Linked DNA regions of Saccharomyces cerevisiae S288C. The protein of the gene in region 2 interacts with the protein of the main gene of each other region in a biochemical or structural test. Each region holds a gene or a part of one and is shown on either strand. Other genes may lie near its edges. The genes, in order: FRK1 and YJR142W.

Region 1 (5,361 bases), on a different chromosome or scaffold from region 2:
TATTCCTTTTTTTTTTTTAGTGTACGTCAAAGGTAAGCACTTATCCTACCAAAGATCCAAGAGAGTCAACAACCCAAATGTCTCTTTGATCAAGATCGAAGGTGTCGCTACTCCACAAGATGCTCAATTTTACTTGGGTAAGCGTATTGCCTACGTCTACAGAGCCTCCAAGGAAGTCAGGGGTTCTAAGATTAGAGTTATGTGGGGTAAGGTTACCAGAACTCACGGTAACTCTGGTGTCGTTAGAGCCACCTTCAGAAACAATTTGCCAGCCAAGACCTTCGGTGCTTCTGTTAGAATCTTCTTGTACCCATCCAACATCTAAATTTGTTGATTGTATAAGTACTCTATTAAACATCGTTATTTTCTCTTTTATTACTATTAATATTATTATATTTTGAGAATAGAAAAGACTAATATATATATAGTATAATTTTTAAAATTAATTCCGTACAAAAGGCAAAAGAAATTGTCTTCTTACTTAAAATGTCTGCGAATCTCGCTGTAAGCGCAGTGAAACAATGTTCCCGCTTAGAAGACGTGATTCAAGCGGAGTGAAGCTATGATTGATAATAAGTAACAATTTAGAAAAATTTTTGATGTTTTTAGTAATGCAAAATATATATGGTAGGTATATGCATATATATGCTCAATGTTTATTAGATTGAAATTTCATAAAGTATATTATAACATTATTTTGTTGGTCTGGCAAATCGCAAAATTTTAGCGACAGACATTTTAAATGGAAAAATTGCAGATAGTACTGATTTTTTCATATGATAAGTGGATATTATTGTCAAATGAGATAGGTATTATCTCTAGATTTTCATACTTCTTCTTTTGAAAAACCCTAATACTCTTTTTGCGGTTGAATGTTCTGGACTTTGGGCTGCTTTATTGTCTACGCTTGCCTTGTTGACCTCAGATACCATTATGGAGGACCTGTTGCTTCGGACCGCTTTTTTAGTTTCTAAAGTACATTTATTTTGCACCATCGTTGGTGCAGGCAGGTCTTTTGAGACTTGATGGGATGTTTGCATATTTGAAGCAGTGATATAATGATTCTTTGAATTTGTTTGATAACTGTCATCCTTTTTTGGGCGTCTTTGGGAAGGTGGAGAAGGTTTCCGTTTGGAATCCATTGATGAGTATAAACTAGATTTGGAAGTATCATAAGAGTACAAGGAAAGAAAGCTAAATCTTTTCTTTGTTGACTCTGCTTCGTTAAGTGATCTTTCTAGATGGTTATTGACGTGTTTTTGTGCTGTAGCTTTCGCGATGTTGCTACTTTTACTACCCTTTTCACTTGTGTCCTCCGTTTTCGCCTTATCAATTGATTCTTGTCCTTCATGTTGTTGAAGAGGAGATTCTGGTGGCCTCAATTCATCAGACTCTTCGGTGACCGTATCGCATGAGATGTCACTGAATATGCCGCTATATCTCAAACTTTTGCGCTTCTGTTTGTATTTTTCATCATAGATTCTCGTTACTACATCAGCGTCCCTCTTATACTTGATCAAGTCACCAGATACGCTTTGCAAATCAACAGAGGGTTTTGCTACTGAAAATTGGCCGTGCGTAATTAACTTTGGAGAGCTTTCGATGGAAGAGGATGAGGTTATGCATGTATCTAGGGCAAGGTATGGTGTGGAATCAAATGGGGATGTGTCTCTTTGATTCAGCGTTTGTGATGAAGCGCTACTTTTAGCTTTTTCGTTGATCTCATATATGGAGAGCGTATTTGAATTGTAGGGAGGTGTTGTGTATGAGCCAGGATGGTATGAAGTTGGCCGTGGCTTTGTATGGGATGAGGAAGACGTACGGTAGAAATTTTTAGCAGATTGGAGACTATTTTGGGTCTTATTTTTATTGTATTGATGATTTTGTGATGAAGCCATGTTATTTGGTTGAATCTTGCTTGTTTGCATTGTGGTAGACGACTCTTCTTCTAAACTTGGTACAATACTACTCCCAGAAATTGTATTTCTTTTAATAGGTGTGGTTTCGATTATAATATCGCCTGGACTTATGGCTGGTGGAGGTGAAAGACTGGCAGTCATGTTTCCCGTAGTTTGTCTAATGTTTTGTACTGGGGATAATGATTGTTCATGACTTAACACATATTCCCTATCTGCGTTCACCACTGCCTGCAAGGCAACGGATGCAGCAGAGTTACTTCTATTGTGCCTATTAGATCTTCTTATAGGTGACAGCCGCTGGTCAGATGCAATAGAAGCCGGTCTGGTTATAATATGATTTTGTGATTCTTGAGGCGGAGCCGGGAAAGTAATTAAAGTTGAATCAATGACCAGTGAATCCCTTTTATCACTCCTTGAGCCAAGAGATGAGGTAGAACAACTGGATTGTGGTCTAGATCCATATCTTCTTCTTGGTTTTGCTAATCTGAACACGGATTGAGTATTGTTTAGTTTGTCCCACTCATCAGGTGTTATGGATAAGAATGAAGAATGAGGCTTTAGCCATTCATGTTTCTTGATCTGTTTCAGGTTTATTCTTTTCTTTGGGTCTGAGACCAGCATGCGTCTTAATAAGTCCCGAGGTATAGGAAGAATATAATCAGGGAACTTTAATGGTGTGGAGTTAATATAATTATAAAGTCTTCCTATATCGCTGCCTTCAGGATTATTTGGATCATCATCCCACGGTAAATATCCAGCTAGTATAGCGTAAAGTATAACTCCACATGACCATATATCTGCTTTTCTAGCTTCGTATGGTTCGGCGCTTATCACTAGTTCAGGCGCTGCGTAGCATGGAGAGCCACATGACGTCTTCATTAATTCGTTTCGTGAGCAAAACTCATTGACAAACCCAAAATCTGTAATAACTAGGTTCTCATTCTTGTCTAGTAATAGATTTTCCAATTTGAGATCTCTGTGAACAAGTCCCTTAGAATGTATGTAATGTACTCCACTTATTAGCTGAGAAAATAACCTGCATGCATTCATTTCCTTAAGCCTCCTTTTTTTTTGAATATATTTATAGAATTCTCCCCCGCATGCGTACTCTAGGACAATACCAATGTACCTAGAATTTTGCAACACTTCTTCTAATTTTACGATATTCGGATGTGATAAGTGTTTTAAGGCGTTGATTTCTCTGTATATTTTAACTTCTTTCCTGTAATCATTCGATATGCTATCACGTTTGATAAGTTTAATTGCTACTTGTTTTGGGAAGTCAAAAGTTGAATTAGAGCTGTTTGAAAAATTCTTTGGCCAGCCTAGCTTCACTTTTCCGAACTCTCCTTCTCCTAACGTCGACCCTAGGATATAAGGACCAAACGTTACATGTTTCCGCCTTTGCTCATCTGTTCTTTGAGGGTACTGAAATGTGTCAGACAAATCGTTGGTAAACCCTCCGTAGTATGTATGACGTTTATTGGTGTACGACATTAAATTTTTGGCACTCTAAATCAGTATATAGAAGTAATGGCCAATTGAATATTGAACGCCGCTTGGCTCGCCTTTCTTGTATTGTGGATGGGTAAAAAAAATAGCGATTATTGTTAGGTTTAATTAGCAATCAAAAAATTCTCGCAAACACGTCACAAGAAACAAATTAATGCAAAATGTGGCACAGTCAAAAAACTGCGAAAATGTGTTAAAGATGAAAAGAACCGTGATCAGCAACAGCAGTGTACCAGATTTTGTGATCTGATTTATTATAGATTTACTCGATGACCTGAACTTGAATTATATTTAAATCGATGAAGGGGTTGAAACAGGTGTTGATCTGGGTTTCAGAATTTTTCTCTTGTTTACCTTTTTTGCTGTTCTACACTCATTCTTTCGATTGTTTTCAATTGCTTTTTTAGGAAGTGCGGCTTTGTTTACATAAAAGGTGTGCGGCATTTTAATGCAATATGAAATTTAAAAGTATATGTAACGATAGCACTATTATTTAGGGTTCCTGAAATGATATACTTTATGGATAGACATTATCTGTTCATTGAGTATACAGTAGGGGCTAAACCTTCTTTTAAGGGAGTAAAAAAGATGGATATGCATTACGTCGGCCACATGACATTAATTGTGCAGGTTCAGCTGATGTATAGGCTGAAGAGGCTACGCTTGCTAATTTATAATGCCATTTACTAACCTAAGGAGAATAGAATCTCCCATAGAGTGAGTATGTTGTGATTAAAGAGATATGGTTTCATCTTTACTCGAGTCCATTTTCTTTATTTTTTTAATGGTAAGAGGATGAGTATAGCAAAAACGGTCAAGAGACAGCAGTAAGTGTCGTCGTAACTAGAACAAATAGGCCTTATAACAGAAATCATAAGGGTTGTCCCGTGGTCGGAGCCCTTGTCGGAACTAAAGAAAATCAGGCAATATAGAGGATATTTTCTACGTACAAAACGCTTATTGTATTTATAGCTCCAGTTACTGAAGTGGTAACTTAAGTAAGCAATAAGTATGTTAAAACCCTTTTATTTTTCTGAGTCGAGCAGATTTTTGTTCGACCGTTGTATATAGGATAATATGACGCCATATGATTTTTTCCTCTTTGGTAGGGAGGGAAGAAATTTTCCCCGCGCGGCTGAGTACAAAAGCGCCTAGTACTCACTTGAGTCATAATTTAGCACATCATAGCGTGCCTGCCAGAAAGACTTGGATGCGCATTTCTATTTGATGTAAGTAAGGAAATAGGAGAACTTTCATAGCCCATGGCTAGTTCGGTTTTCAGTAAACTATATACGTATATGTTAAGAATATTTCGGAGTGTCTAGATAATAAAAGAACATCGTTAAACTTATGAATGGTGAAGGAGGAGAAGTCTCGTTAAAGAATTCCTGTTGTAGAAAAAGTCAGTTCTGGTTACGAGAGGAAAATGTTGGAAGTTTATATCCCATCCTTTTCCTTTTCCCAGCATTTCTTTACAAACCGTTCCATGTTGACTTTTTTTTTCATTTGCCCTACAATCCAGGGATGCTTTAACATTTGCCTGGGAGAAGGCCTCTCTCTGGCATCTTTTTTTAAACAATAGTCGATAAAAGATCTAAATGTCTTGCTCCAGGATATGTCTAGTTCTGGCTCATCTTTCAACTGGGGAGAAAACGTCAGGATCATCGTCAATAATTCTATAGGAGCCACGTTTTGCGTTATTTTGTCAGATTCAAATGGAAATCTCCCTCCAGCAACCTCCAGAAGAGTTAATCCTAAGGACCATACATCACAGGTTACGCTGTATGGTTGGCCTTGTATTCGTTCTGGGGCCATATAAAATGACGTTCCAGTAAATGTCATCGCTAAAGAGTTAACAGCCTCCCCACTGACACCGAAATCGCATAATTTGATTTCCCCTTTTTCATTAAGAAGAATGTTTTGGGGTTTA
Region 2 (3,398 bases):
TTCATTGGTAACATCATTGGGTGGTGGTTCCAAGTCATATCATTGGCTGTTTTTGTTGGCATTATCGTGGCCGATTTAATTACTAGACATCGTGGCTATTATGCCCTAAACAAGATGACCAGAGAAAAGCTGTATGGCCCATTGATGTTTTTCTTCGTCTCCTGGTGCTGTCATTATTTTCCATTCTTTTTAATGGCGCGTCAAAAGTTTTTGCATCATTACTTACCAGCTCATTTAATCGCGTGCTTATTCTCAGGAGCACTATGGGAAGTAATTTTCAGTGATTGCAAATCATTGGATTTGGAGAAAGACGAGGATATTTCAGGTGCATCATATGAACGGAACCCTAAGGTCTACGTTAAACCCTATACCGTCTTCTTGGTGTGTGTCTCCTGTGCTGTTGCGTGGTTTTTTGTATACTTTTCACCACTAGTGTATGGAGATGTCAGCTTGTCACCATCGGAAGTTGTTTCTAGAGAGTGGTTTGACATAGAATTAAATTTCTCCAAGTAACTTTTTCTGTTCACTAACCACAAACGAACTGAACGCCTTCCTCCGTTTAGTGACAAAATAGAGTACTTTTGATCTTAGATAGTATGTACCTAGATGTGTATATATGAAAAAAATTCTTTATATTTGTTTAGATATCAACCGGTAACCTCTTGAATGTTAATTCAAGGTGGGGAATGGTAACCTTCTGTGCATTCTAGTTACTAGTTCAAGATAATTGGGCTCATTTTCTGGAGTGATGTAGCCATGTCTAATCAAGAAATCTACCATTACCAATGCACAATTTGGTTTGAACTCTTTTTTTCTTAAAGCATTAATCGTCTCTTGCAGGCTGAATAAATTGAAACTCTCGACTTCACCATCGTTTGGTTTTGGAATGATGTCTTCGCTGAGTTTTAGATCGTATACATATTGTACTTCCCCTACGATAAAATCTGATTCCTTATTGAACTTCGTTACAGAAATATCACCCGTAAAGTAAAGGTAGGAAACTGAACCAGTTGCTTTAATGTTATCCTCAATAACACTCTTTTCTAGATTGGCTTCCTCCATGCTTTCTTTCAAAACTGTTTCATAGATACCATAAGGATAACCTAATCCCCCGGCGATAATGTTGTCAAGCATTAGCGGCCATGTTTGTTTCGTTTTAGATCTTCTTGGAACCCAAAACTGAACTTTTTTTGACTTTGGATCTAGCACATAACCATTAATATGAATCCCGTAGGTAATTATACCAAGAACACCTGCTACTGCACGCTCAACCAGTACATAGGGTTTTTTATTAACCCAAACGGCATATTTCTCGTTTCTCCAGCCCTTCACACCACTCAAGGATGATTCTAAATACATTTTACGAGCCAATTGGTCAATTAGATTGTTTCTATGATCAAAATCTTCACTTTTAAACCTTAACTCATGTCTAGATTCATCTAATTGGAAGGTTTCTTCGAAGATTTCCGAGCAAACAGTCTCCATTTCATTTATCGCAAATTTCAACACGAAACCGATCTTTGTGCCATCGTGTGTACACATATAGTAAATGCCCTCTTTGAAATTTTTGTAATTCTCGAAGTCTAATGGTAAAGGGTCTACGCGGTCCATAATCTCCAGGAAAGAGAACCCCTCTAGATCATCCTCCTGTGTCCTCACTAAAACTTCCAAGCCTTTAGATGATTTCTCGACCTTCATTGTATTAAAAGCGTTTGTTTCACTTTCGTTCCCAAGAAAGCCCCTATATTTAGTAATATAACAAACGCTATTGTTGTGCAATTCTTCGGCCAACGAAGTTAATTCTACAACTGTATGTTAAAAAAAAAAAGAAGCTATTTATTACTTGATGACAATATTTGTACAAATTTGAAAGAGAATGGTTCTTAAAATTAGATTAGTGATGTATAGCTAATGGTCCATTCACCAATTTTTTTCATGCTTGAGGGTAAAAGTGCATTAGTATGTTGAAGGGCGCTGTAAAAAGCATTAAACGATGTTTCTTGGAAATCTAATTCCTCGACGACTTGTCGATTGAGACATCGATTTATTGTGGTAACGCTGTTTGTGTAAAGCAACTTCATCGCTCTCTTGAAGCTTTTGTTTCCCGTCAATGTGACTCCAATGTCAACGGAAAATATCCAAACTAGCAATGATTCCGTTTTACATTTTACTAGTACGTAACGACAAGAGTTTGCCTTAACTACGTTTATTAAAGAAATTGTAATGTCACATTCTGGAGGAAATTTGTATGTGTTTCCACTGCGTATTAACTGCAGTTTCCATTTGTGTAGTTTATAAAGCGAACCAGCAGTTACTTGGCCTAACACTGCTGAGCACTTTATGCATAAAACATTATCATTTTCCTTTGTAGTCGCTACATTTTCAAAAGTCGCAGGAGTGCCTTGAAAATAAGAGCTTCCAATTAAAATTTCGTTTTTAGATGGTTTTAGCGTTTCAAATCTTGTGTAGGAAGACTTGTCTTCCTTAACATCGGGTTTGTGGCAATGCCAATAATCCATTAACTCGAACCAAAACTCTGAAGGCATATCATTCAAAACTTGACAGTTATCTTTGCTTATAATTTTTTGCTTACAGTTAAGACATTCTATCGAGAAATCAGAATCTGAGCGAAGCTCTTCTTTAGTCCATCTTCCATCTGGAAGCGACATGATAGAACTGTCATATATCTTAGAGGATTTGCTTCTTAACTTCGTCATCCATTCTAAGTCTTTACCTCTGTTTTTGAACTTGTAAGAAGCGTCTACTTTTTCTTCAACTTCTACTGGAAGTAAAATATCTTCAACTTGTTCTTCATCACCAGATATGCTCATGAGTGTGTCCTTCAAGTTCTTTATCTCCACCTGCTTCCAACCTTCTACTACCACTGAAATGCTCTGTATCCTTGGTAACCATTCTACCACATATTGAACCATCACCCTTGCATTTGTTTCTCTCTTTGTTTTCTTGACTTTCCTTTTCTTTACTTCGATTTAACAGCTTGTTACTATGTGCCATCGCGAAATTATTTATTGAATTGTTTACGTTGGGAAGAGCAGAAATACAAATAGACGGTAGCAAGGCAGGTCCGTAAAGGCACTTTAAGGAGTTAGAACCTCAACACAGATTCTAGATAAAGCTTATTATGTCTATGTTCAATGCCCTCAATTCAAACATCGAAGGTGAACAATATGAAGCAGAGGAGCATTCAAGAGAGCTTCAAATAGAACAGAGTTTTAATATTTTGCAGGACGCTCTGATTGATCTAAAAAACAAGGACTTCGAAAAGTCGGACAGCAAATTCCAAGAGCTCTTCCAGATTGATGTCGTCAAGCCTGATAGGTGGGGCATGTATCGCAATTCTTCTCCTACGCTAGATAACCTGCGATATCTATGTTATA

What was found.
Region 1: of the proteins of YJR142W (region 2) and FRK1, one has a biochemical effect on the other in vitro, tested with the Saccharomyces cerevisiae proteins (one large-scale study listed by BioGRID).

Annotation. Positions count from the first base shown.
Region 1 is NC_001148.4:282,646-288,006, forward strand, and holds FRK1 (protein kinase FRK1), read right to left. Parts: upstream 3,417-5,361; coding exon 819-3,416; downstream 1-818. Other genes in the region: 60S ribosomal protein eL33 RPL33A, read left to right, coding at 21-325; putative mitogen-activated protein kinase kinase MKK2, read right to left, coding at 4,869-5,361. UniProt on the Saccharomyces cerevisiae protein: Putative serine/threonine-protein kinase that may be involved in rRNA transcription and ribosome biogenesis.
Region 2 is NC_001142.9:695,441-698,838, reverse strand, and holds YJR142W (uncharacterized protein), read right to left. Parts: upstream 1,699-3,398; coding exon 670-1,698; downstream 1-669. Other genes in the region: PMT4 (dolichyl-phosphate-mannose-protein mannosyltransferase), read left to right, coding at 1-513; IPA1 (putative polyadenylation protein), read right to left, coding at 1,890-2,933; HIR3 (Hir3p), read left to right, coding at 3,143-3,398.